Linked DNA regions of Macaca fascicularis. The protein of the gene in region 3 interacts with the protein of the main gene of each other region in a pairwise test. Links are inferred from orthologs where the notes say so. Each region holds a gene or a part of one and is shown on either strand. Other genes may lie near its edges.

What was found.
Region 1: the proteins of ZBTB43 (region 3) and PSMD3 interact in binary tests that used the Homo sapiens proteins (3 or more experiments, as listed by UniProt). The two-hybrid records come from large-scale screens. The link is inferred for Macaca fascicularis from reciprocal best matches to the Homo sapiens genes ZBTB43 and PSMD3.
Region 2: the proteins of ZBTB43 (region 3) and SYT6 interact in binary tests that used the Homo sapiens proteins (3 or more experiments, as listed by UniProt). The two-hybrid records come from large-scale screens. The link is inferred for Macaca fascicularis from reciprocal best matches to the Homo sapiens genes ZBTB43 and SYT6.
Region 4: the proteins of ZBTB43 (region 3) and ELOA2 interact in a two-hybrid assay, tested with the Homo sapiens proteins (2 studies listed by BioGRID and IntAct). The two-hybrid records come from large-scale screens. The link is inferred for Macaca fascicularis from reciprocal best matches to the Homo sapiens genes ZBTB43 and ELOA2.

Annotation. Positions count from the first base shown.
Region 1 is NC_088390.1:61,043,362-61,047,656, reverse strand, and holds the start of PSMD3 (26S proteasome non-ATPase regulatory subunit 3), read right to left. Parts: upstream 2,801-4,295; 5' UTR 2,637-2,800; coding exon 2,417-2,636; intron 1-2,416.
Region 2 is NC_088375.1:120,217,631-120,225,298, forward strand, and holds part of SYT6 (synaptotagmin-6), read left to right. Parts: intron 1-2,367; coding exon 2,368-2,716; intron 2,717-4,268; coding exon 4,269-4,827; intron 4,828-7,668.
Region 3 is NC_088389.1:17,204,537-17,212,746, forward strand, and holds the start of ZBTB43 (zinc finger and BTB domain-containing protein 43), read right to left. Parts: upstream 4,491-8,210; 5' UTR 4,366-4,490; intron 389-4,365; exon of another isoform or gene 266-388; intron 1-265. UniProt on the Homo sapiens protein: May be involved in transcriptional regulation.
Region 4 is NC_088392.1:42,770,903-42,779,114, reverse strand, and holds the start of ELOA2 (elongin-A2), read right to left. Parts: upstream 5,099-8,212; 5' UTR 2,929-5,098; coding exon 661-2,928; 3' UTR 1-660. UniProt on the Homo sapiens protein: SIII, also known as elongin, is a general transcription elongation factor that increases the RNA polymerase II transcription elongation past template-encoded arresting sites.

The DNA.
Region 1 (4,295 bases), on a different chromosome or scaffold from region 3:
CAGTTCAAGACCAGCCTGGCCAACATGGTGAATCCCGTCTCTACTAAAAATAAAAAGATTAGCCGGGCATGGTGGTGGGCACCTGTAATCCCAGCTACTTGGGAAGCTGAGGCAGGAGAATCGCTTGAACTTGGGAGGCGGAGGTGGCAGTAAGCTGAGATCGCGCCATTGCACTCCAGCCTGGGCAACAGGGTAAGACTCTGTCTCAAAAAAAAAAAAAAAAAAAAAAAATTATAGAGTACAGTGAAAACTACATTTCTCCTGGTATAATGTAAATCAGCACAGTTTTTCTGGATGATAACTATCAAAAATCTTTAAAATGTTCAGCCTTTTTAACTCAGGTATATAGGTTTTGGTGCGAATCTGTACTTAAGAAATAATTATAAAAGTCGATTTTTTTAAGTTGGGCACAAAGATGATTGCTTCAGTTATTTACGATAGGAAGAAACTAGAAACAGTTTAAATGCAAAGCAGTAAGGGAATGCAATCAATGAGTAGTTTCTTAGGTACTTCTGTATAGTTAGCACTTAGCACAGGGTATCTGGGCCACACTAAGATATAATAATAACAGCTGATATTTATGTGCTAGGCACAGTTTTAAGCATTTTAATGTTCACAACAACCCAATAAAGTATTGTACTATTACTCATATTTACACAGATGAGGGAATGGATTCCAGAACTTGTACTACTCTTTTTTTTTTTTTTTTTTTTGAGACGGAGTCTCACGCTGTCACCCAGGCTGGAGTGCAGTGGCCGGATCTCAGCTCACTGCAAGCTCCGCCTCCCGGGTTCACGCCATTCTCCTGCCTCAGCCTCCCGAGTAGCTGGGACTACAGGCGTCAGCCACCTCGCCCGGCTAGTTTTTTGTATTTTTTTTTTTTAGTAGAGACGGGGTTTCACCATGTTAACCAGGATGGTCTCGATCTCCTGACCTCGTGATCCGCCCGTCTCGGCCTCCCAAAGTGCTGGGATTACAGGCTTGAGCCACCACGCCCGGCCCAGAACTTGTACTACTCTTAACCATTATATTGGGTATTCAACAAATGTTTCTGGAATAAATTGCTGATTATGTTTATGAATGTTAATGAAAACACATAAAATTCAAAATTTATATTTAGTTATGCCTTGATACAAACTATATACATAACTTGCTCTCAATTATAGGAGAGTAGCTCAAAAATTCATAAGAAAAAATGTTAACCATGTTTTCTTCCCCCTGCTTTTAACTTCTCATACATTCCAAAATCTCTGCAATGAATATGAATTACTTTACAACAAGAAAATGAAGTGCTTGTAATAAACACACCCAGTAGGCAATGCTGAGTGGCACCTTTGACATTGGCTGTCACTACTTTAGGCAAAAGGATGTCTATCAAATATTGATCCTGTTGCTCAACTTTACCGTTAAGAGCTGTGGTCAACAGCATCACATCCTCAAATGTACCACTTAGGAGGATAATTTTCCTTATCTCAATGTTTTTGAGCTACTTTCTCATGCATTTTAGTGAAAAGAAAACCTAGTAAGTAGTGTGGTCCCACTTGATCCAGAACCACGAAAACGGCACCAGGATCACAGTGGGAAGCTCTCACTTTACCCACTTCAAATGGAGACAGGATGCTCTAAGTGGGAAAAGTAAAACATGAACTTGGAGGAACAAGAGGACTACGGATACTTGAAACAGGAACCTCGGAGAAAAGAAATAGGAGACACTGGTGTACAGCAGTTTAGGCCAAAGGTTAGTATTACAAAACCAAACAAAGATGACACCCGAAAAGTTTTAAGTGTGTGTGTACTTAGACCCTTTAGAAACAGAGGGGCAGTAGGGACCTGAAGGGAGAAGGAGACAGCAAAGGGACTGTGGGGATACTTCAGTTAGAGAAATAGGAAACAAGATACTAGGTCGAAATGGTTCATTCGGGGGAGTGTGCTAAAGGCAGCTAGGACAACAAAAATCTGCTGTACAGTTTTAAAAATCAGGAGTCGATATTCTAGGTCATCCCGGCCCTGTTTACACACGTAGACACAAACACTGGTTTCTAGCGGGATCAATCAGTCATATATTGGAGGCGCTAAAATCAGTCAGGTGGGATATAAATGGAATAGGTCAGAGGGGAGGGCTTAGAAAGGGGAGGACTTAGAAGAAGGAGTCCCCAGGCCCAGTGGAACCCAGATATAGATGCAACCCCAGATATGGGGATGGAGGGGATGGGAGGGGAGTGGTTCCCAGCCTGGAGAGAAGGTTCAGTCATTGGGCCTGGAGTCGGAAGTGTCAGGGTAGCGGGGGCAGGTATCTGGGGGTAATCCCAAGGAACTGAGGGTTGTGGAGGCTGCTCTGGCTTCCCAGCGAGAAGCCGAATCACAGGGGTCGCTGTCACCCGTGATCGCGGCACGTTCCCGGCTTGGGCTCCCGTACCCTCCAAGGTGACAGTGTCTAGCTCTCGCTGGGAGTGCTCAGCTGCTGCCGCCGCCGTCTTGCCGTCTGCCTCCCCCGTTGACCCGCCACCCGTCGCCGCCTCCTCTTTCATCTCCACATCCTGGGGGGCCGGGGGCAGTGGGGGTTCTTGTTCTCCGCCGCCGGGCGGCGGTTTCGCCTTGTCCGCGCCGCGGCGCCGCGCCGAGCCCTCCTGCTTCATGGCACCCGGGGTCACGGCCTAGTCCGGGGACCGAGGCCGGGGCCTCGCGTGAACCGTAGCACCGGGGACCAGGAGCCGAGCCGGGCCTACACACCAGCGCGGGCTACCGTCGGGCCGCACGATGACGGAGCAGCTGCAAACCCCTTCCCGGCGCTGGGCCTTCTGGGAAAGCCCAGGCACGGCAGGCCGATGGCCGAGTCAACAAAGGGGAAATAAATCAACAGCCGAGGTGCAGGATGAAGGAGGAGCTTCAAGGAAGGAGCTGGGAGGAGCCTGTATGGGTTCCTGGTGCTTTCTTTCTAGCGCTGAAGTGTGATGCTTTTATGTTCCTCTCGAGTGCATTTCTGTGGGCGTCCACGAGAGGTCCCCTCAGGCTCCAATCTGGGTTACAAAGGACTTTAAGAGCATCTCAACCAGCGTGGAGTGAGTACAGTCCATCCGAGCGCGGGGCGAGATAACGTCAAGAGTTGCCGGGCGGGTTTTGCGCCCAAGTTCGCTCCCTTTTCCCCGATGGGGGGGTCTCCTTCCAAATCCGCGGGGCTTGGGCTCAACGGCTGCTGGGCGCATCCGGCAGGAGGGAAGGAAAGAAGGCTGCGAAGGAGGGACGTGAAGCTAGGGCTGTTGGGCTTAAAATAAACCGAACTGGAGAGTAGCAAGAATCCTATGGGATCCGGACTTCCTTGATTAGATTTTAGTTTAGTGCTGAAGATAAGGCATACAATTCTCTGCAGGGTGAGCGTGCATTTGCGTAGAATCACTCCAGTTTAACAAAATGTAGGGGCCCACCCTATGTACGGCCCAGGGCTAGCAAATAGGGGGGTGAAAAACAGCTCAAGAATGTAGTATACGGGAGAGTCAGATGGTTAGATAACCAGACACAGTGCTCTGGGCTGCGGTGGATTGGGAGTGTTGAGGAAAGAGGGTGGGAGCCACTACTGGCAGACGCTTTAGGGAGCCCGTTGAGAGGGCTTTTATACATCCAGACAGACATTGTGAAATGGCGAACAGAATAATAGTGTGCCTAAGGAGAGAATGATGGTTTACCTAGTGCTGTGCCTAAGGGGAAGCCAATTGGACAAGAAACTCTACCCACTTATTTTTCAAAGGACTCCCCCATTGATTCTGCAGGGAAGGTGAAACAAGGTGAAGGATATAGTTCCCAATTTCTTAGAACACAAAACAAAAACTCTCTCCCTACCTTGAAACTTTTCTCTCTCCCATAAGTGAAAGTCCTGAGCTTTAGACCTTTCACAGACCCTGCAAGAAAATTTAGCCCTGTTGTAAGGACCTAGAAGGCAGGAAATACGTTTTGACCTCCTCCTCCTTTACATATATAAAGGGTATCCTACATATCTTTTGCATCCTCTTTCGTAGGATTGCAGGATGTTCCTTGCATTAAACAGCCACTTGCTAACTGGAAAGATATGTGCTCTAGTTTTAGGGAACATGCCTTGACCAGTTCCTCCTCAACTGTCCTCTCACCCTCCAGGGCTGGGGGATGGATAACAGGATTTTTGAATCATCATTGGAATAAACTCATTAGAACCTCTTCATAACACCGTATCTGCAACTGAAGGTGGGCGAGAATGGTAAGGAAGAAAACAGATGAGTTATGTTCATCCTTAACAATCAAAGGAGTTACTCTTCTGGTTAGTTAGG
Region 2 (7,668 bases), on a different chromosome or scaffold from region 3:
TGAGATCTTGAACCCCTCAAAGCTATTGACAATGTTTGGAATCAACTTCTTTTAAATTTCTGTTAATGTTGATATTTTCACCTTTTCCCCTGAATTATGAATGTTCTTAATGGCATCAAGAATGGTGAATCCGATTCAGACGGTTTTCAATTTACTTTGCCCAGATCCATCAGAGGAATCACTATCTATGACAGCTGAAGCCTAAGATTTGAAAGTTGAAGTTACTCCTTGATCCATGGGCTGCAGAATGGATGTTGTGTTAGCCAGCATGAAAACAACATTAATCTCCTTGCACACCTCCATCGGAGCCCTTGGGTGACTAGGCGCATAGTCAATGAGCAGTAATATTTTGAAAGGAATCATTTCTTCTGAGCAGTAAGTCTCAACAGTGGGCTTAAAATATCCAGTAAACCATTCTTAAACAGATGTGCTATTATCCAGGTTTTGTTGTTCCATTTTTAGAGCATAGGCAGAGTAGACTGAGCATAATTCTTAAGGACTGTAGGATTTTTGGAATGATAAATAAGCATTGTTTTCATCTTAAAGTCATCAGCTATGTTAGCCCCTAAAAAGAGAGTCAGTCTGTCCTTTGAAACTTTGAAGCCAGGCATTGACTTCCCCCTTCTAGCTGTGCAAGTCCTAGATAGCATCTTCTTCCAATATAAGGCTATTTCTTATACACTGAAAATCTGTTTTTCAGTGTAGTCACCTTCATCAATTATCTTAGCTAGATCTTTTGAATCACTTACTGCAGTTTTTACATCAGCACTTGCTGCTGCTTCTTTGAACTTTTACATTATGGAGAGGACTTCTTTCCTTAAACCTCAAGAACCAACCTCTGCTAGAATAAAACTTTTCTTCTGCAGCTTCCTCTCCTCTTTCAGTCTTCATAGAATGAAAGAAAGGTACTGTCTTGCTCTGGATTAGGCTTTGGCTTAAGGGAATGTTGGGGCTGGTTTGATCTTCTGTCCAGACCACTAAAGCTTTCTCCACATCAGCAATAAGACTGTTTTGCTTTCTTATCATTTGTGTGTTTACTGGAATAGCACTTCTGATTACCTTTAAGAACTTTTTCTTTGCATTCACAACTTGGCTGTGGGGCACAAAATGCCTCACTTTTGGTCTGTCTTGGCTTTTGATATGCCATCCTTACTAAGTTTAATTATTTCTAGCTTTTGATTTAAAATGAGAGTCATGTGACACTTTCTTTGACCTGAACACTTACAAGTCAAAGTAAGGTTATTAATTGGCCTAATTTCAATATTGCTGTGTCTCAGCAAATAGAGAGGCCCAAGGAGAGGAATGGCCAGCCAGGGGAGCAGTCAGAACACACACAATATTTACCAATTAGGTTGGCCATCTTACGTGGGTACAGCTCAGGACGCCTCAAAACAATGACAATAGGAATATCCAAGATCACTGATCACAGATCATAGATCACCATAACAACTGTAATAGTAATTTAAAAGTTTGAAATAATGTGAGAATTACCGAAAAGTGACACACAGACACAAAATGTGCACATGCTGTTGGAAAACTGGCACCAAAAGACTTGTTCAAGGCAGGGTTGCCACAAAGCTTCAGTTCGTAAAAAACACAGTATCTGTGAAGCACAATAAAGTGAAGCATAGTAAAATGAACTGTGCCTGTATTTAACTTTCACGTGCTCTGTGTAGATCAGATTCCAACTTAATAGAAGTATTTATTGAACCTACTATGCACAGACTTCTGGGAGTACAGAAGAACATAATGCTTGCCCTCAAAGAGACTATGCTGACTCTCATTCACTTGAAGTCAACTCAATGTTTATTGAGTTCCTGTCTTGGGCTCAGTGGGGATGGGATAAAGAAGAAAAGAGGATGAGTTAGCCAGTGTCTGCCCCCCAAGGTATCACAGCCTGTTAAGGAAGTAGGCTGTAGACAAAAATGACTCGTAAGTCTGGCCATAGTAGCAGCTTTAATAGAAATTCAAACAGCGTCTGAACATGCATGCTTCACGAATTTGCACATTTGCTTAGGCTACTATTTAAATTACTTTCCTTTCCCTGTGCACACGCCAATAGGCAGTAGAGAAGACAGCCCAGGTGCTCCCCAAGCTGGCTGGGGGGAGGGGGTGGGGGCGGGAAAGAGGATGATGCTGGAAGAATCAGATTGAGGTGAACACAAGGCTGCAGATATTCCACGAAGTGGACAATCAAGAGTCAACCCTGAAACCACCTCTCCCTCTGACCTGGCAGCTTTCTCATGACCATTCTTCTCTCTTCTTCCGTCTTTGTCCCTTCTGTGTGCCCCCTCCTCCAACACCCTCACCCGCTTCTCCCCGCCTCTGTCTGTCTGTCCCTCCCTGCCTGGCTCATGCCGAGGGCAGGCACCTCTGTCAGCCTCCTCGCAGTTGTAGTTATTGTGTGTGGCGTGGCCCTGGTGGCAGTTTTTCTCTTTCTCTTTTGGAAGCTGTGCTGGATGCCCTGGAGGAACAAGGAGGCCTCCAGTCCCTCTTCTGCTAATCCCCCCTTGGAAGCCCTCCAGAGCCCCAGCTTCAGAGGCAACATGGCGGACAAGCTGAAGGACCCCAGCACCCTGGGCTTCCTGGAGGCGGCCGTGAAGATCAGCCACACATCCCCAGATATCCCAGCTGAGGTGCAGATGTCGGTCAAGGAGCACATCATGCGTCACACGCGGCTGCAGCGGCAAACTACAGAGCCAGCCTCATCCACCAGGTGAGGAGTGGACCGCTCCCTTCCCTGATCCCACACCTCCACACTCCCTTAATACATCTATGGGATTCCAGCCTGTGAGGATCAGAGATCAGAAATAATAACACATATCCTTTGATGGAGAAATATGTCAGAAGATGTGATCCATGATGGGTGATCAACGAGGAGGAAAGACTTCACGAAAGGGAAACCTTTGAGGCTGGTTGCTGTACATGTGGTGTGCACTTGGGGTATGTGTGGATATGAGGGGAATGGAATAGTGGAATTGGGGAGTGTCGGATGTTTGGAAGGAAAGGCTTCAGGCAGAAGGAAGAGAACGGCAAAGGCCTGGAGAGGTAAGAGTTCATGGTGTGTTTAGGGATATGTCTGTAAAGCCCGATAGCTACAGTCTGCAGTGCGTGGCAGATAAGGCAAGAGAGTCTTAATAGTTTGAGAATGAGGATTCCTTTAAAGCCTTTCAGAGTTCCCTGTATGACAACAATTGTAAATACATACAGCATCCTTTAACTGAAAATAGCAACAAGAAAAACGTAACGACAAAAACCTACCCCAAATTCAGAAATACTTTTAAAAGATGTGGCGCAAGCATGTGTAAGGCATTGTATTTACTCAAAACTTAGGGCTCTGATGGATTCCTAGGTCCCTGCAATGGCTCTCCAGGCCCTCAGGGGACCAACCAAAGAGAATGAGTCCTGATCTTCAGACTGGAGGCCAGGAATGAACATGCTAGGGGTCACACTGACAGTTTGTCATATGGCCTTGGGCAAGTTCCTCACCTTCCCTTAGCCTCGCTTTTTCCAACTGTAAAATAAGGCTGATGACTTATATGGCAGTTGTGAGGAGCCAATGGAAGAATGAATGTAATCGATAAGGAGAGCTAACACATATATTGCTTATGATTATGCTTGGCTCTGTTCTAAGCACTTCATATGTAATCAATTCATTTTACTCTCACAGCAATCCTATGTGGTTGTTACTTTTATTATCCTCGTTTTTATGGCACAGAGAGGTTAAATAACTTTCCCAAGATCTCAACTGGAAAGTGACAGAGCCAAGACTGACCTATGCAGTCTAACTCCAAAGCCCATGCTTTTACCACTCCGCTGCCTGCTGTATAGCAAATGCCCAACAAATGGAGATGCTGATGACGGTGATGAAGGGGGTGCCACACTGATGATAAGAAGGGATGGTCCTTCTCTTAAGGGATCTCATGATTTAATAAGGAAACCAGAGTTTTGTCTACTAGGAAGTAAACCTAAAAAGCAGGTAACAGAAAAGCAGGAAAAAGTGATTATGATAGCAATGGCTAACATTTATTGAGCTTACTATATATCAGGCGCCATTCCAACTACTTTACATATATTAAGACATGTAATGCTCACCACAACCTTGTACACCAAGTGTGTGCAGAGGAAAAGTGGGGTCAAGAAGAGGAAGGAAGAGGGGGCTCAACAAGGGATACAATGAGCCAGGGCTTCCAGGCTCGTGTCTGCCTTCATCCCCCTTCCCCTGAGCCCTGACCACACTCCCTCTGCCCCCTCCTGCCCTCTACCAGGCACACGTCCTTCAAGCGCCACCTGCCAAGGCAGATGCACGTCTCCAGTGTAGACTATGGCAACGAGCTTCCACCAGCAGCAGAGCAGCCCACCAGCATTGGCCGCATCAAGCCTGAGCTCTACAAGCAGAAGTCGGTGGATGGGGACGATGCCAAGTCTGAGGCCACCAAAAGCTGCGGGAAGATCAACTTCAGCCTACGTTATGATTACGAGACGGAGACCCTGATTGTGCGTATCCTGAAGGCTTTTGACCTCCCTGCCAAGGACTTTTGTGGAAGCTCTGACCCTTATGTCAAGATCTACCTCCTGCCTGACCGCAAATGCAAGCTGCAGACCCGGGTGCACCGCAAGACCCTGAACCCCACCTTTGATGAGAACTTCCACTTCCCTGTGCCCTATGAGGAGCTGGCTGATCGCAAGCTGCATCTCAGCGTCTTCGACTTCGACCGCTTCTCCCGCCATGACATGATTGGTGAGGTCATCATGGACAACCTCTTTGAGGCCTCTGATCTGTCTCGGGAAACCTCCATCTGGAAGGACATCCAATATGCCACAAGTGTGAGTACAGCCCTGTTCCTTGGCTTTTTGAGGATTTGTGGTTCTGGGTTGGGTTGGACATGTCCCCAACCCCTCATTTCCTAGAGACAAATGGGCCTTTTCCTTTTGGGATAGGAAGAGGGACTCTGGAAACTGCCCAGTGGCCCAGCCTACCCTTGCACTCTGCCCCAGGTTGGAATGGCAGACAGCAGAGTCCCCATGTAGCTAGGAAGGGGAGGGATTTTTTATCTGTGGCTTCTGGTTGCATGTTCTGGGATGGTTCTTTCTACTGAGAGTACTGATATAGAGAGTACTGATATAGATACAGAAACCTGGCATAGGCAATCGAAACAGGCCATATCAATTAGGCTGAACCAGGCTATGCTGCAGCAGCAAACGATCTGAGGATTTTGTGGCTTTAGACAACCAAAGTTTATGCCTTGTTCATGTTTTGTGTGCTTTGCATCTGGGCTGGGGACTCTACTCCACCTTGTTACCTGGGGACCCAAGCCAACAGACGCTGCATTTAGACACGGGCCCCCACAGTTAAACATCAGGAGGAAGAGGAAGTGGCAAATCATGCACTGTTTATTAAAGCTTCCACGCAGAAGTGACACATGTCACTTCCACTCCCATTAGAACAAGACACATGGTAACTCCTAATATCGAGGGAGAAGGGGCAAATTAATCCTACCGAGTGCCCAGAAGGAGAGCTGGACATACCTAATGAACAGCACAAATGACGACACAGAGCAGAGTCCCTTCGCTTGGGCATTGTTTTCCCAGTCATGTATGGGAGATGGGGGAGGCCAGCCCAAAAGGAGACCTGACTAACCCCTACACAGGAGGTGGGTGCTGGGCTGTTTGCAATCAGCTGGAATTAACCAGGGAAGGTTTCAAGGAGCTGGGGCTCAAGTTGGCTTTTAAGAGAAGAGAGCACAGGTTTGGCACAGAGAACTGGAGAGGGCACATCTGGAGCCCTTCGGTCTGGCATAGCCCTTCGCTCCAGTCCCGAGTTGAGGAAACTGTACAGCTGCGTCCTGCAGGTATAGCTAGTATCCTCTCTCTAAGCCACCCCCCCACCCCCAGGCAGCTAAGAGCTCAGTGGGGGCGTTCCCTCCAAGCTCCAGTGGCCTTGCATCTGCTGTCTGGAGTGCTAACAGGTTGAGCAGCAACCTGGATATTTCCTGCGCTGTATCTCTGAGGAGGGGCGACCCCACTCTGTCTGCAGACTCCCGCTCAGATAGTCAATACTCAATATCTCTGTGTTGAGCCTGTGAAGAGAGGGGCTGGGAAAATCAGCCCTGCTCTGGCGTGCAAAGGGTGTAAATCTTGATTTGTTCGAAGTGAGAAAGCTTGGTGGGCTCTGCTTACACCCCAGGAAGAGTCTGGGGGACACCCCATTCTCATAGCTTGTGCTGACTTTGACCAGTCCAGCCCAATGGCCCAGGGCCTCCCCCACCTTTGCTTTCCTGAAATGTCATCCCTAAGAAGAACATAAGTAGCCGGCTGGCTAGCAGGCAGACAGGGCGGCAGACCGGGTGGATCAGAACAGCAGCTGTGCCGCAGCCCCGGGCCCGAGCGCTCCACCCCATAAATCACTCTGAAGTTTACATCTGGTGCAGCTCTTCCCTGTGGTCTCCTTAGGCTGTGGTTTCATTATGGTAACTGGGCAGGTAGAGAAAAGCAGCTCAGCCCTCCTCAGAGTGAGGCTGCCACCCAGGGAAGGGCGTGAGGGCCAGGGGCTGCAGGAAGCAGAGCTCAGCTCAGCCCTTCTAGGAGCCTCCTTTGCTCCTTGCCAGAGTCCACCATCTGGTGTCTTTGGCTCTAGGCATGACTGGAAGCCTCATGCCTGGGATAAGCAGTCTGTGCCCAAGCACACTTCTCACCTGGATGCACCTTTCCATATCCGAGAACCCCGTGGCTGTCCTGCCCTTGTCCCATCACCACTTCCCCAGCCTGGCTTCTGAAAAGGGCAGATCAACCAAAGAGCATGGAACAAATCACCACCATCCTCATCATCCTCAACTATTATCATTATAGACCCCCTCCCTCTCCTCCTCCTAAGAACACTGTGCCAGGCATGGGGGTGAGGGGGGACTGGGGTAGGAAACAGCCTCTTTGACCCACAGAAACTTGTCATCTAATTACAGAGACAGGAAAAGTCCATGCAGTAGCTGGCAGTGCAAAGCAGCAAATACGATCCGCTGTGTACGGTTGTAGGAGCCTTAGAGTTAGGACAGCTGGTGAAGGTCTCCTGGATAAGGAGAACTAAATCAGGTGGGGAAGGACAGTCATAAATAAGTCAACAGCCCAAGAGGAAGGGACAGCATTCCAGCCAGGTGCAGAGGGAGTCCAGGTGCAGAGGGAGTCCAGGCGCAGCGGGAGTCCAGGCGCAGAGCGAGTCCAGGTGCAGAGCGAGTCCAGGCTCAGAGGGAGTCCAGGCGCAGAGCGAGTACAGGCGCAGAGGGAGTCCAGGCGCAGCGGGAGTCCAGGCGCAGCGGGAGTCCAGGCGCAGAGCGAGTCCAGGCGCAGAGCGAGTCCAGGTGCAGAGGGAGTCCAGGCGCAGAGGGAGTCCAGGCGCAGAGCGAGTCCAGGTGCAGAGGGAGTCCAGGCGCAGCGGGAGTCCAGGTGCAGAGGGAGTCCAGGTGCAGAGGGAGTACAGGTGCAGAGGGAGTCCAGCTGCAGGAGTTTCCCAAGCTGCAGAGCCGCACCCATGCTCAGCCAGTCTGTCTTACTGTCTGTCTGAGCTGGATGTTTCTTCTCAAGTGAGTCCCCTGCCACCCTCCAACCCACAGCCCCGCCAGCAGATAGAATTCTCAGGAGCAGGTTCATCACCCTGCCAGGCAAGGACTCAAGCAA
Region 3 (8,210 bases):
GCAAAACTCCAAATCTAACATTTTTCTAAGTTAAAAAAAAAATCACTTGGCAGAAAAATTTATCTGACATTAAATGTTCTATCAGTGCAAAGTATGTCATTGGTGGGCCTTAGAATGCGTAATATCTCTTCAGAAGAGAAGAAAGAATCTTCTGGTCTAGAGGAATTAAATATCTTAACAAAATACATTATTAGTTTTGCTAAAAGAGAAATGATTACAGTAAGTAATTTTTAACAATGGTATTATGAGCAAGTTTATAGCTTACCTAATGCAAAGCTGTATTCCTGGGATAAAGTTTCTTATGCCATGGCCATCAAAAAGCAATATGAATAGAATGAGGAAGAAGAACCCATTTCAGTTTTGCTTCAAATTAAAATCACATTGACTTCTGGAAGGAAGAGTAACAGTGAAAATGTAAAAAAGATGCTATGTACATGTATATTTGCTAATAAACACTGGAGATGTACATTAGTGGCAGAAAGAAAAGTAATAAAGACTGGCATTTTTGGTTATATTAAATTCATTCTGCAACTTTGTAGCTCCTGCCTTTGCATTTTTTTTAAAAAATAAACTTATTTTGTAATAATTTTAAATTTTCAAAACAATTGAAAAGACAGTGCATAATTCCCGTATACCTCTCATCCATTACTGTGGCATATTTATTAAAATTAGAAAACCAACATGATCAATGACTATGTAATTTTGCAGAATTAACATATCCTTTGGAAGAGCGCTATTGGTCTCCTGACCATTGTCAATCAGTATTCTTCTATTTTTTTCCTAATTAGAACACTTTGGCCAAATAACTTAGTAAAATCTATTTTAAGATGTGTTTTAAAAAAACAAGCCACCTGCTTTATGAAGTTTGATTCATGACTCCCTTCAATTTTAAGCCACGGCTGAATGTTTTACTTAAAAATTTCCAGGACAAACATTCCATTATAGCAAATTCTCTGAGATTCAAAAGAGAAGGTAATGTTCTAGAAACTAACCCTCCATTCATCAGTCATCCTTCCATCAAATTTCAATAAAGCCAAGGAAATGTTTTTAACTGTGCCCTCATGTGCATTAGAATTCAGGATAAGAAGTTGAAATCAAGAAAGCAGAAGGCAGAAACAGCACTCATTTCACAAAATTAACAACGTATCGACAAATTTTAAAAAATCTTATGTCCTCAATATGTTACAAGTAAGACAAAAGCCCCTATTCTAACTGCAAATATAAACAGAGTGAAAAGGAAAAGTTCAGGTCCAGCACAGTGGCTTACACCTGTAATCCCGACACTTTGGCAGGCCAAGGCAGGTGGATCATTTGAAGTCAGGAGTTTGAGACCAGCCTGGCCAACATGGTGAAATCCTGTCTCTACTAAAAATACAAAAATTAGCTGTGTATGGTGGCAGGCGCCTGTAATCCCAGCTACTTGGGAGGCTGAGGCAGGAGAATCGCTTGAACCTGGGAGGTGGAGGTTGCAGTGAGCAGAGACTGCACCACTGCACTCTAGCCTGGGTGACAAGGCGAGACTCCATCACAAAAAAAAAAAGAAAAAGAAAAAAGAAATGGAAAAGTTCACGAAAATGATACTATTCAATTAATTTTCAGACATGCATTTTTTCACATTTTAAAATTCCTGAAATCAGCATGTGATCACCAGGTGGCAGTTTTAATAGTTGTCACAGCCTGAGGCAATGACAGCGAACTGCTGAGGTCCTCATCAATGTTCTTGATGACACAAAGGATGACACGCTAGAAAAAATATGGACACACTCTGAACTGAAAAGTATAAAGAGTAGAACCTGGAATGTTAACTTTAATGAATACTTTAACCAATTTATTCTTATTTTTCCTTTGTATATACATGCATTAGCATAGGCATTGATACCATTTTTTAGTGTCTAAGTTTAAAAGTGTTTTCAATAATAAAAAGTCTAAACGATAAGAGCGCATTAAGCCATAGTTTAATTAGCAGGGTTTCTCTCTTCCTTAGTGGTACATGAAATAATCAACAGCATCTAGCATTCAATGAAATAAACTAGTAATTCAGTTGCGATATCTTATTAGAAAGTTTAATAAACTACCTTAAAGGCAAAGAGCTTAAATAAGAGATTTTAAAAAACAAAAAACCCACAAAGGCATCCCCCATAAGAAAACTCAAGAAATAACACATAATTTTGCATTATAATAAAAGGGCTATTTTTCAACCTTATGAGTTTTCTTCCTGTGAAGAGTATAATTATCAAGTATCCTACTTATGAGCAGATTCTTGCACTGATTCCAAGAAAGGCAGAGGGAAGAGAGCCAGGGCAGAAAGTAAGTAGAAAGCTTGAGGAAGATTTTAACCATATCCATTTAACTAAACTTTTCTAAGAACCTCAGCTGTACCCACTGCTGTAAAGAGAGTAGGAATCAATAAACCCAGGTTCAACTAAATGTTCCTAACAACTACAGAATGAATTTTGAAAAATTACACGTAAAAGGAGCTTATTGGGCCGGGCGCGGTGGCTCAAGCCTGTAATCCCAGCACTTTGGGAGGCCGAGACGGGCGGATCACGAGGTCAGGAGATCGAGACCATCCTGGCTAACACGGTGAAACCCCGTCTCTACTAAAAAATACAAAAAACTAGCCAGGCGAGGTGGTGGGCGCCTGTAGTCCCAGCTACTCGGGAGGCTGAGGCAGGAGAATGGTGTAAACCCGGGAGGCGGAGCTTGCAGTGAGCTGAGATCCGGCCACTGCACTCCAGCCTGGGTGACAGAGCAAGACTCCGTCTCAAAAAAAAAAAAAAAAAAAAGGAGCTTATTGGTTTCAGGAGTCTCCAATGAATACTGTTTTTGTTTTTTTTGTATTGTATAAAATATACATAAAACTTTAAGACTTAACAATTTTAAGCATTCTTAAGAGTCCAATTCAGTGAAGTACATTCACAATATTGTGCAATCATCACAACCCATTTTCAGACTTTATTCATCATCCCCCAAAACTCTGTTCTGTATCCATTAAGCACTAACTCCTCTCTCCAGCCCCTGGTAAACTATTCTACTTTCCGTCTCTTAATTGGTTTATTCTAGGTACTTCATTTAAGTGCTCTCAAACAATATTTGTCCTTTTGTGTACGGTTTATTTCTCCCGTGGTACTTTTGTAAAGCAAATAATAAATCCCCGATTATTAGGTTTCTTACAATTTAACCGAAAATGCTGACACAGTCTCTGAACTAAGCATGCAGCTCTCCCAGAAACTCTGCTACTGTTCCAGTAGCCCCAAAGATCTCAGTCTGATCCTTCTTTAGCCTGTAGACAGGCCAGTTAAACAGCTGTAACTCAAAGAGCAGGCTCCAGAGATCCCTGGAGACCATCCCGTGGTTAAGTGGATGGAGTGAAGGGATTTGGGAAGCTGTGCAGGCCTGAAAAACCACAGGCGAGAAAAGGCTAGGACTCATCAAGCTGCTCTGGCCCCAAAATGGGCCTCCTGTCTCCCTGACAGACTCTCCTGCACTCTGACACTTATGTTGGGCGGCACCTGTCAGAGCTGAGGCCAAACTGCGGTCGAATCACTGAGAGTGTCACCAGTGCAGGGAGCTTCACGGGGTCATGAGTCACCTTCCATGGCTCAGAGGTCTGGGCAGCCCTGCCCTACCCAGACAAACTCAGCTAGGAAACAGAAACAAGAGGAAAAAAAAAAGTTGGAAGAAAGAGAGAAAAACAGACAGATGGCCAAAAAGCTAGACTGACAGGCCCTGAATTAGAGTAAGGGCTGAGTGGCAGAGACAGGGTGAACAGACACAGAAGCAAGGTGGAGACAGATATGAAACAGGATCCATATACCCCGAGAAAGACAAAGTGGAGAGAAATATCAGGTTGACAGGGACCTAGCTGAAAGACAAAAAGGACAGGTTACAACAGGTGACAGAGACAGCAACCGGGGTGAAACAGAAGGGAAAAGAAGATCAGAGAAGTCCAGGCGCAGTCTTTCTGCCAGCTCGGCTCTTCAGGCTTCACGCATTGGTGGCTCGAACCCGAGGCCGTCAAGCCGCGCCCACCCTACGCCCCGAAAGGCCAGCGGACGGACGGGGGCAGGATCTCTAAGCGCTGTGGCCGGCGGAGCTCCGCTGCCGCGAGGGTGACCTTGGGCGAGAAGCTGCCCCAAAGGCCTTGGTATCGCGGTCTGCGCGCCGTGTGGGCAGGAGACTGCGGGATTCGGAGCTGGGGCGCCGGGACCCCAACCTTCCGCGCGGGGCTTTAGCATGCCGGTCCACGGAATGGGCCTGGCGGGGCAAGCGGCGCGTGCGTCGGGGCCTGCAGAGGAGCCCTTAACTCCCCCACCAACTTCTCCTCCCTTAGCCTTGCCGCCCGTGGTCCTGGCCACTCAGTACCTGCCAAGGGCTCAGCGCTCACATCCCCCGTCCAAGGGATCCTCTCCGCCGCCGGCGCAGGCCTGTTCTAGCCTTCGCTGCCGCAACAGATTCAGCCTGTGCCTCAGCCCCCGGAAACGCTTCCCGGTCCCGCCCCCCGAAATTGACAGTGCTTCCGGGGGTGCGCCAGAGAGAAAGAGGAGTGCGCATGCGGGATTCACTGTCTGAGCTGGGCGTCCGGAGAGAGCGCATAGGTAGCGGGCGCCTGCGCAGTACAGTCTGGAGCGGGTCAATCAATTTTAGGGACTGACTAAGCTGTTGAAAATAGGGGAGCAGATACCGAGTTCTAAACCTTCTTGAAACCTTGACATAGGCCAGGCGCGGTAGCCCACGCCTGTAATCCCAGCACTTTGGGAGGCCGAGGCGGGAAGATCGCTTGAGGCTGGAGTTCGAAACCATCCCGGCCAACATGGTGAAATCCTGTCTCTACAAAACATGCAAAAATTGCTGAGTGTGGTTACTGGCGCCTGTAGTCCCAGCTATTTGGGAAGCTGAGACAGGAGAATTGTCTGAACCCGGGAGGCAGAGGTTGCAGTGAGGCGAGATCATGCCACTGCACTCCTGCCTGGGCACAGAGCAAGACTCTTAACAACAACAACAAAACAAAAACACCTTGACCTTCTCCGTCTCTTCTCTAAACAAACAAACGAAAACCTTGACCTCAGTTTGCCTGGCGGAGATTATCTCCAAATCCATTTCTGCCTCCACAGCACCCATCCAGCTTTTTGGCATGTAGTAGATGTTCAGTAAACGTTCAATGAAAGGACCAGTGCCTTTCCGTGGGCTGCGTTGTGCTGGGCACTGGGGTCACACAGATGGTGGGACAGAAACGATCTCTCTAGCTTCCAGTTCTCCCACTCCTTCCCCAAACCCTCCATCCTTCTCACCCCTTTCTTCCCCCTTGCCCCACCACGTTAGTGTAGAAGAGAGATAGGTCTTATAGCAGTGGGACTCTTACCTTTGGACCCGTTTATAGACCAAGTGCCCTCTTTGTGGAAGAGCTAATTTATACCTGAAATCCAGGCAGCTGAAGAGATGTGGTCATAATGCCTTCTGGATTTAGGGTGGATGTTCTCCTGGGCTAGACATGCCCTTTTGATATTGTCTGTCTTAGTTTAAGCTGATTGGCTTCCCAGCTATTATGCCTGTCTTGCTTGTTGTTGGGCCCTAGGACACAGGAGTGTAGCTTTTCTAGAGAGAATTCTACCAAAAAAAAAAAAAAAAAAAAAAAGAAAAGAAAAAAGAAAAGAAAAGAAAAAATTTCTAGAAAGCGAAATGAAAGAAAACAAATATGGAAGCACAGAAATGGGAATGGATGCAGAACAGCTTGTCAAAGATTCTACTTAAAACATGTATGCTCCAGCCCCCCCGCCTTTTTTTTTTTTTTTGAGACAAAGTCTTGCTCTGTTGCCCAGGCTGGAGTGCGGTGGCGCAATCTCGGCTCACTGCAACCTCCGCCTCCCAGGTTCAAACAATTCTCCTGCCTCAGCCTCCCGAGTAGCTGAGACTACAGGTGCCCGCCACCACGCCCGGCTAATTTTTGTATTTTTAGTAGAGACAGGGTTTCACCATCTTGGCCAGGCTGGTCTCAAACTCCTGACCTCATGATCCACCCACCTTGGCCTCCCAAAGTGCTGGGATTACAGGCATGAGCAACTGCGCCTAGCCTAGTTGAGTATACTCTTTAAGTGTTTTGCCACTTTTATTCCTGCCTCTAAGCAGACCTGAAGTTTGGAAGTTCAACTGCCATCATGTGCCTATGAAGTGGTAAGTAAATGCTAAGGCTGGCAAAGCAGGAAGATTGAGAGAACCTAGGTCCCATATGACATTAGGCCACAGTGCCAGCTTTGGACACCCTTAAGTGTTTTGTTGCATGAGACAAATAAACTTCTTACTTGGACTTTATTTCTGGCAATATTGAGGACTATATATTTCCAAATATTACTGCAACAAAATAGATAAAATTGCTAGAAGAAATATTTAGAATACCCTCTTAAACGCATGGATACACTTGCAAAAAAAAAAGTCAGGAAAATTATCTGAAGCTAGGAGGAAAACAAGAACACAGGCCTGGGAAGTCAAACAATTGATGTTCAGAAATTACGCAGAGGTAAAGTCTGCATCTGTTCTGATCCATTGGTGCATGCCCTGTACTGACAAATATTTTCAAAATTATCTCTGGAGATAGGTAAACACCGATACTGCTACCAACTATAGGAGCATTCACCTGGGTCCAGACAGGATTAAAGCCAAATTGCAACATCAGGTTGGGACTCAAGAAGAAATATGTCCTCAGGTGAAGGATAAACTACAGGGGAAAAAATCTGCCATACAGAGGTAGGCAGCAGTTAAAAGCTGTCTCTCTGTGCCTTGGTTCTGAGCAGAAGGGGAAATCATTCCCCTGGAGGATTCATGGCTAAAACAGTCTGACTATCACATGGCCACACAATTTGCATAGTTCAAAAGCCCACAATCTGAACATTTTAATTTGAAATGAACCTGGGGAGGTGGTGCCTACAGTATTTGGCCAAAACACAAATCTCTGAAAGAACTTGCTGGCAACCCAGGCTTCAAAGAATTCCCACAGATAGGGTTCTAAATAAATATGAACTCACAACCGGAAACCACAAACCCCCTAAGGAAATAAGCAGAGAAGACAAGCAGTAGAGGTGGATCCACACCAGCTTTAGATATTTGATATTTTAGAACCACAATATAAAACAAGCATGCTTAGAAAAACAAAGGGGCTAAAAGCACAAGTATCAAGAAACTCTTGAAAAATTGCCAGGCAGCTGGGCATGGCAGCTCATGCCTATAATCCCAGCACTTTGGGAGGCTGAGGCGGGCAGATCACCTGAGGTCAGGAGTTCAAGGCCAGCCTGGCCAACATGGCGAAACCCCATCTCTACTGAAAATACAAAAAAAAAAAAAAAAAAAAAAAAAAAAAAAAGAAAGAAAGAAAAAAAATGGCCGGGTGTAGTGGCTCGTGCCTGTAATCCCAGCACTTTGGGAGGCTGAGGTGGGCCGATCACCTGAGGTCAGGAGTTCGAGACCAGCCTGGTCAACATGATGAAACCCTGTCTCTACTAAAAATACAAAAATTAGCTGGGTGTAGTGGTGCGTGCCTGTAATCCCAGCTACCCAGGAGGCTGAAGTAGAAGAATCTCTGGAACCTGGGGCGGGGGCAGAGGCTGCAGCAAGCTGAGATTGTGCCACTGAACTCCAGTCTGGCGACAGAGCAAGACTCCATCTCAAAACAAAACAAAACAAAAACAAAAAAATTAGCCAAGCGTGGTGGTGGGCGACTGTAATCCCAGCAACTTGGGAGGATGAAGTGGAAACATGAGATTAAAAAAAAAAAAAAAATCTAGTTATACACTACTTAAAACACAAACCTAAAGAAAATTTGAGGTCAGGCATGGTGGCTCCCACCTGTAATCCTAGTACTTTGTGTCATGCGCATCTGTGTGAAGAGACCACCAAACAGGCTTTGTATGAGCAAGAAAGCTTTTTAATCACCTGGGTGCAGGCGGGCTGAGTCCGAAAAGAGAGTCAGCAAGGGAGGTAAGGGTGGGGCTGTTTTATAGGATTTGGGTAGGTAAAAGAAAATTCCAGTCAAAGGGGGTTTGTTCTCTGGCGGGCAGGAGTGGGGGTCACAAGGTGCTCAGTAGGGGAGCTTTCTGAGCCAGGATGAGCCAGAAAAAGGAATTTCACAAGGTAATGTCATTGCTTAAGACAAGGACTGGCCATTTTCACTTCTTTTGTGGTGGAATGTCATCAGTGAAGGCAGGGCAGGGCATTTTCAC
Region 4 (8,212 bases), on a different chromosome or scaffold from region 3:
AGCTCAGGCGATCCTGCCACCTCAGCCCTTTAAGAAGCTGGGTCCACAGGGGTGTGCCACAATGCCAGGCTAATTTTGATATCTTTTTCAGAGGTGGGGTTTCCCTGTTTTGCCCCGGCTGGTCTTCACCTACTAGGATCAAGCGATTTGCTTTCTTTGGCCTCCCAAAGGAGGATGGGTCATGAATACAGGATCATGCCCAGCGTTTTATTAAAACAACAACAACAACGACAATAAAGAGTTTATGTATTTGGAGTTATCAGTGTTACCTAATGGCTTGTGAATTTTTGTCTAATAAGTTCTTATCTACTTGATGATTTCCAAAAAAAGAAAGGAAAAAGGGAATCTCACATCTTTTTCCTTATTTATGATTACAACTAGGGTGTTATTTTAAAAACGATCAGTGAACAACCAAAAGATAATTGTTCCGAATGTGTTCATATCTTCTGAATTCTGAGGTGTCCTCCAGGCTGGGAGGTAGTGGTTGGGTGTGGGAGGTAAAATCACAGGTCCAGCACGTGACACCTACAGAATTCAAAGGCTCAACTTTGCACCAAGCTAAAGGTTCTGGTGTCCATTGGAAGTTTCATTCCCCAACCCGCATTGACTTTGCATTGGTCCTCCTCCCTCCAGATTTTAACTGCAAGGCAAGTCCTGAGTTCATCGTGGGGAGAATCTTTTCTTGTAGTCTCGAATTGCCTTGGCCATCAGCGGGGCCACTTTCTTGGCAGCCTGTTTCCGGGTTTTGGCCGCGAGCATCGCGCGCTCATTGCTGCTGCTTAGGCAGGGGTTGGCCCTCTTCTCAGGGAGCTGGTGAAGGACATTGCTGCTGCTGCTGTCTCTGCCACCACTGTCACTGCCCCTGCTGGAGGGAACGTGGCTGCTTACCGCAGGCTTTGGGGCTAGCTTGAGCTCTCCATTTTCAGGTTCAGCAGCTCCTGCAGACTTATCTTGCCTCCTTGAAGCATCATAAGGCGTCTTGGCCACAGAGTTGAAATAGATCATCTTTGCCTCTCTGCTGTTGGGGTTGTTTTCACGTGCAGATCGGATATTTGCTGTCAGTACTCTTAGTCGCTGCTCTCGGGTGTCCTGAACCCGCAGGCACAGCTCCCGCCAAGACTCTTGCTCCTGTGGCTTTCCTTCCTTGAAGTCCTGGAGACAATGAATCCTCCATAATTCATCTGTGTCCCCAGCGAGTGCGTGATTGTATTTCTCTCTGCGATACAGCTGATCAGGTGTCCACCCTTCCAGAACGGGTTCAAGATACGAGTAGGGGATCCCTTCCACATCGCTGAGGGTGTCGGGATTGTTTCTAAGGACCCGGATGCACTGCTGGCGCAGCGTCAGCACCTGGGGCTGGCAGGCAGGCCTGGAGCCCGAGTACACCTGCATCTTAGCATTCACTCTGCCTCCAGTGAAAGCAGTTTCCTCCTGGAAGGTTGGTGCAGTGAGTGCTTCTGGCTTTGCCTGGGAGGTCATGGAGTCAGAATCCAATAGCGAATGGTAGTTGGCCTGCATCCAGGCCTCTGAGGGGTCCCAGAGCTCTGAGAAGGCATGGCTGGGCACCGTTTTCAGCCCTGCAGAATCAGCACCGGCTGCCTGCAGCCTCTCTGACTGGCTTTCCTCGAAAGGAAGCAATTTCTTAGCTGAATCCCAGGACACACGAGTGCCCTTTGAATCGTTTGCTTTCCTTTGTTTATCTCCAAGTGCAGTGGTGGAAGATTCCCCAGTCTTTTTCCTTTGCTTCTGCAACTGGTCGTAAGTGTGGTATTTTTCAAATGACAGAGTGGGCTGCTCGAATTCCTCAGCCATATCTACCTCCTCCACCTCAGAGAGGGAGCTCATGGACCTTCTGCCCACATGAGCCGTTGGTGGCTTCCCCTCTTGAGTCTTTTGGTCATTGGAAAGCTGCTCTTTCTCCTCAGAGGACAGGCGGTGTGTCCCATTTCCTGGGTACGGGCCATCTAGACTGGGCATCTTCTTGTTCAAGTGTCTGTGATGAGGCCTATTTGGGTGACCGTCTGGAGCCACCACCAAGGCGGGGACATGCTGGCTGCTGCCAGCTCGTCCCCCTTCCTTGTCCTTCTTGGCGTCACCCGAGGACGGCCTGTCCCTGGCACTTTCCCGGAAGGGCATCCTTGGGGTTTCCTCTCTTAAGCGGGCCCAGGATGATTTCTCCCTGATCAAAGTAGGGGAGTGCCAATCGCCCTGGGCACACAAGGGACATTTTTCCTGGTGGAACGATTTGTGTCCCTTGCTGTGGCTTACAAGCGCTTCCCCCTGGGGTTGGCCCTGGCAGCCCTGACCCAGCAGAGGCCCGCCCTGAGCGGCGTGAGCATGGCCTCTTCCGGGTTGCTTCCCGGGCACAGCCGGCTCAGGGCCCTCGGGCGTCGGGAGGGGAGCGGTGTGCAATGGAGGGGCCCGATGGGGGCCTGAATCAGCTGGGGCCCTTCTGGGACGCTTTCTCTGGGCTCTGTGCTCGCGACTGGGAGACCTTCGGTGAGGTCTCTGGAGCCCCGGAGGTGTTCTGTGTGCTGTCCGTCTGTGCTCAGGACTGTCAGGTGGGCTCCTGGGGACCGTCCCGTTCTCTGGGAAGCCCCAGGCCTTTTCCTGGTCCTGAAGAGCCTCCCCATAGCGCTTTCGGGAAGCGCTCTCCTCGGGGTCCTGTGCATCAGGCCCGGTGTTTGGGTCCACAAGCACCAGCTTCTTCCACCGGGCCGCTAAGTCTCTGGCAAAGTCGCCCACGTGCTGGTGCTTCCGCAGGCGCTTCACCGTCTTTCTGATTCCAGTCTCCGCCAGGATGTCTGCCGTCATGGGCAAGGCGGAGAGTTTCTGCAAATATTTCTCTAGCTTTTTCGGGTCCGTCTTAGTGGTCAGATACACCTGCAGCTTCTCCACTGCGTGCAGCGTAATGGATCCTGCTGCCATCTCAGCAGAGCTGTGCAGGCGTCACTGTCCTGGAGGTCTCGGCTCTTTCCTCCGGGCGGCGGGACACGAAGCCAGGCAGCGACCTCGGGATGTGGAGTCACAGCCTGGAGCGAGCTCGGTCCTCGAAGCAGCGGACCACTGGTTCCGGGGCGCTGGTCCTTGCAGACCGTAGGCCTCATGACGTGGAGTCACCACCGCCTGGAGCAAGCTCAGTCCTCAGTGCAGCGGGCCACTTGGTCTGGAACGCCGGTCCTTGCAGACCGCTGAGCAAGTCTGCTTCTAGTCCTCGGGATGTGGAGCCATAGCTGGAGTGACCTCTGCGGTTTGCAGTCCTACACGGAATGCAGCTCTGGTGCCAGAGCTGGGCCTTATATGGCCCACGGCAGGCCCACACTCACGGCTCTAGCCCTAACCCTCTTAGCTCCTGGGCTGCCCCGCCCCAGTACGTACTCATGCCGTCAGCACAATGCAGACAATCGGGACGGTCCACGCCAGGTGGACTGCTGTGCCCCAGAGGTTGATTAGGTGAATTTCAGCCTCGACACACCCCACTGAGTTCTACCGTTGGCCTTCCATTATATCAGTTTCCGTATCTGTGGATTCAAAAAAAACGCAGACTGAGTCTTCTTGGGAGTAAAACAGAAAATAACACAGCAAGATAAAATCACAGAAAGAAGAACCAATACAGGATAACAACTCTTTACCTAGGACTGATGTTTTGTGAGGGGACTTTCAAACATTTGTCAAAACTGGGATTAAAAGACCAAAATAAAACCGTTTGATTTTATTTCTTAACATCTGCTCCATCAATTTCAAGACAGTTTTCAAGCACTGTCTTGCCCCAACCTTGTCCCTCAAGCCCTGATGGTTCTGGGAACTTAACAATTTCCATGAAATCTTTTTTTCCATTATTAACTGAAGAAAACTGGGTGCCGTTTGCAGAATTTTTAATACTAGGAAAGAAATAGAAGTCAGCAGGTTCCACATCATGACTGTAAGGTGGACGCCTCATGATTTCCCATTGAAACTTTTGCCAAACTGCCCTTTGTTCAGTGAAATGCAACAGCAAGAACTTTTTCATGATTAGGTAGAACTCTCTGATAATGGTTTTTCTGCTCATGCTTTGGCTAATTTTCTCAAAAATTCTGTTAGTAAGCCCATTTAATGATGGTTTGGCCCTTCAAAAAGTCATTTAGTCGTATCTTTTGAGCATTCCCCAAAACTGTTACCATGACCTCTTCCCTTGACTGGTCCTCTCTGTCTTTGACTGGAGTGCTGCCACCTTTTGGTAGCCATTGTTTTGTGCTCTTTCTTCAGGATCATCCAGTGTAGCCATGTTTTATCCCCTCTTACAAATCTTGGAATAAATATTTCTGGATCTTCTTCCACCTGTTTTAAAACTTTAAAGAAATTTTTACTCTTGTCTCTAGCTATTATTGTTGAAACAGATTTGGTATCTGGATCGGACTTTCGTTTTTCAGTGACAATTATTAAAACAGGATCATTTGAAATATAGTATCTATGTTTTTTTCTCTTCTGTTGTTACTTATTTGTCCTCTCAAATTAGGGAACACTTGGTCCTATGTTTCTGAGCATAGTTGACCAATTCTGACATTGTATGAAATTCAGCAAATGTCTTTTCTGGATCTGTAGACACTTCTTTTGAGATTTCTAGTATTTTGTTGGATTGTACAGCATTTGAAATTTAGGAAGTTTCCTGGCAGAGCCAGGAGATAATCAGGAAACAAACAAAAAACAAATTAGAACGTACAGGTATATATAGTCAAGCTTTTAGGTGAATATTAGATGCAGAGACTGTAAAAGAGAAGTATAGAAAAAACATTTAAAATAAGAGAATAAGAGATGTGTCCTTTTTAACTGTTTGTTTTTGAGATGGAAAGCTTAATGCAAAATTTGGATCTTATTACTGAAATTGAAATGAGCTCATGCAAATTAATCTCCATAGCACCCGTAAAAAGGAAATTAAAAGCACTAATGTTGCATGTGGTGTATATACAGTAACATTTCCTAAATATCTTCTCAGTCTAAAACTGGGAATGATATTCAATGCTTCCTTTTCCTCAGGCTATGGTATCATAGGATTCAATTTTGAATTTGATAATGGAGGTATATTTGTGGCACAATAGCCCACAAAGGAAATGAAAGAAGAAGAAAACCGCCAGATTATTGAAACATACAAATGAGACACCTAGATTAGATGTTCACTTCTGGGCCTTCTTTCTTTGTACACAGAAATTAATGGGCATGTACTTGTGTCCATTTCAGGGGCATACCATCTCTTACAGTTTAAATAGAACTTTTTTGGGGGGAGTGGCTCATTCTTAGTTTTTTTTAATTCAGAAGATAATTTTCTATGTTAATTTGAATGGCCTGGGCAGAAAGATGTAGATCTGGCCAACTTTATACCTTTAATTAAGAAATTTGTAAGACTGCATTTTGTGTTTTCAGTAACAGAAGCTCATCTTAAATATTTAACACTACATTTTGAATAGTGTTTTTAAAACTCTCTTTCCCTATTTTACTTGTACTGAATTCTGAATTTTTATCAATCTTATCTCAAAATAAAAATCATATTATTATTTTAAGACCTGGTCACCACAAGTAAAAGCTGCTTCACAGTCCACATAGTAGGAAAGCCTTTTTTTTTTTTTTTTTTTTTTTAATTGGAGATGGGAGTCTCCCTGTGTTGCCCAGGCTGCTCTCATCCTGGGCTCAAGTGATCCTCCCACCTTGGCCTCCCAAATTGCTGGGATTACAGGAGTGAGTCATGGTGCCCGACCATGGAAAGCCATTTTTGATGCAGCCTCATTACCAGACAGGGTTCTAAAGGACTCAAGTCAATCCCCATTATAGAGATAGACTGTTTTGCAAACTGAGATTCTAATAAAAAAAGAAAGTGGAAATTATTTTGATTGGAGTTGAAGTAGCTACCATTTTGCAGAAATGTAATCAAAACCCTAAGCAAGCCTCTCTGATAGGCTATTCTTTCAAAAGTATGATCAACATTGCTCAGATTTGTTTAGGATTAAGAATTAGACTTCTGTCTCAAGAATTAGAGCTTTTGCTTTCTTGTTTATCCTGATCAACTGTGTTAATTAGGTCAGTGGGTTACTGTTTAAATGATTCTCCAGGGATTCTAAAAAGGAGTTTGAAGGAAATAATTCTGACAAATGTTCCAACTTGCTTTTATTAGGGTTGCTATGAAACTCACTATCCTATCCATGGGTAGTAGAAAATAAACTGTATTTTTCTGTGTCTGTGTATGTGCATGTATGTGCACACATGGAGTATTTCTATAATACAGTGTAATTGATCCTCTAGAGTATAAACTGCTGAGTGATATCGCTGGGCCAACAGGTATGTGCATTTTTCTTTTTGATAGATTTTGTCAATTTGCTCTGCAAACGGGTTGTACCAAGTTACATTCCCACCAATTGTATCTGAAATACAATATTCTTTCAATACCTTACCAAATCTGGATGTAAAAATGTAAAAAAATAGCTGCACTTTAAAAAATTTGAGATTCTTATTGAAAGAAGCTTATTTTTGTACCAATAAGCTGAAGAAGTATGGACAATACTTAAGGTGGTTTCTTCAACTTTTATATGCATTGCAAATTATTATAAAACCCAAAAGAAAAATGGTAAAGAGAAATGTCTGCTGTAAATGAACATGTGAAGATTCTGAACACAGAAATGCCTGTGTTACTCTTCTGTTCAGTAAGTCTACTCCTGTAGTCACACTGGTGCAGCAAGGTTGGGTAGTAATAAGGTGTCATTGCTACTCTCCAAAGCAGAAACAGGCTCTGTCTGGGGGCTGGCAAAGCAGGCCCTCACAGTGCTATGTGTGATAACCAGTTCTTTTACCCCATCATTTCCATCTTGAATAGCTTCAAAATATTGCCTAGAAAGATTTATATTTTCAGTTAGACTATTTATTTTATATATCAAGGCACAATTTTATGTAGATTATTTATATTTATTTAAGACTTCTTTTATCTGCCCCCTCCCACCTTTTGCATTTTAAAACATCTTTATTCATATATCGTACAACTCACCATTTAACATGTACAATTCCATGACTTTCAGGATATTCACAGAGACATACTTCCATTGCCTTGATCAATTTTAGAACGTTTTCATTAGCCCAAAGAGAAATTCTGTACCCTTTACCTGCCATCCCCTCCACCCCCAGCCCCCTGCAGTTCTCCCATCCTCCCAGTCCTCTCCTCCCCACTTTTAAACGTCTCTTCCGGGATCTTTTTTTCTGTTCCTCTAATAAATCTACTGAGTTTTCCCTAATGAGTTTTTCATCCCACTAATGAGGGCCTTCCTCTGGGTATATGCGTGTCTGTGCACACATGGAGTATTTCTACAGTATAGTGTAATTGACCCTCCTCATCTTTAAGAAATTCAGCCAAACCCAGTGCAGTGGATCCAGTACTGAGGAGCACACAGAGGACACTAGCTACTTTTTCTCAGTGACCTAGTCATAGAAAATATTTGCACAAGTACATGTTTCAATTAGGAAGAAGCAAATGCTTCTAGAGTGAAGGATAGAGAGACTCTGAAATGCATGAGCAAAGCAACTAACAGCTGTTGGGCACCCAGCAATTACTATCCCTAAAATTGACTTAGCACCCCCACAGTTTTCAAAGCGCTTCCCAGGCTTTATTTCGTGTGATGTACAGGACACTGCATTAGAACCTCTAATATGGAGGGATATGGACCTTGTTAGAAATGGGACCAGTCAGTGTCCAATACAGTCTCTAGGAAAATGTAGATTACTTTCATGGCTCTTTAAGCCAATTTCCATCTTTGCATTCTCAAAGACTTTTACATGCATATAAAATAGATTAGCTTTATTTAGCTTTATTGCAACTATTCAGCAATTAAAAGACATAATCTCTTGTAAGACATACTACTCCTGGTGCAGCAGGGTGACTAACCTTTTGAAGGAGGTCTAGCCAGTAACAGCTTTGAAATGGTCACTAATATTGTGGGAAATTAAGCTTGAGAAATTGTAAAAGACATCATTCATTTGTTACTGAGTTAGGTCAACTAGGAAAGAATGGCTGGTAGCCATAGTTGTTTGTTTCTGGCAAGTTTGGCACGCAGGTTTTGGTAAATTAAAATAGTGGCTGTGCAGGGTATGAATCTTAGGAAATAATATTAAAGTAGTGGATTATCTCTGGTCTGGAGTGAATATAAATGGGTGGGAGAATGATGAGGAGGAGTTGATGAAGGGAGGAGCATTGACCCAG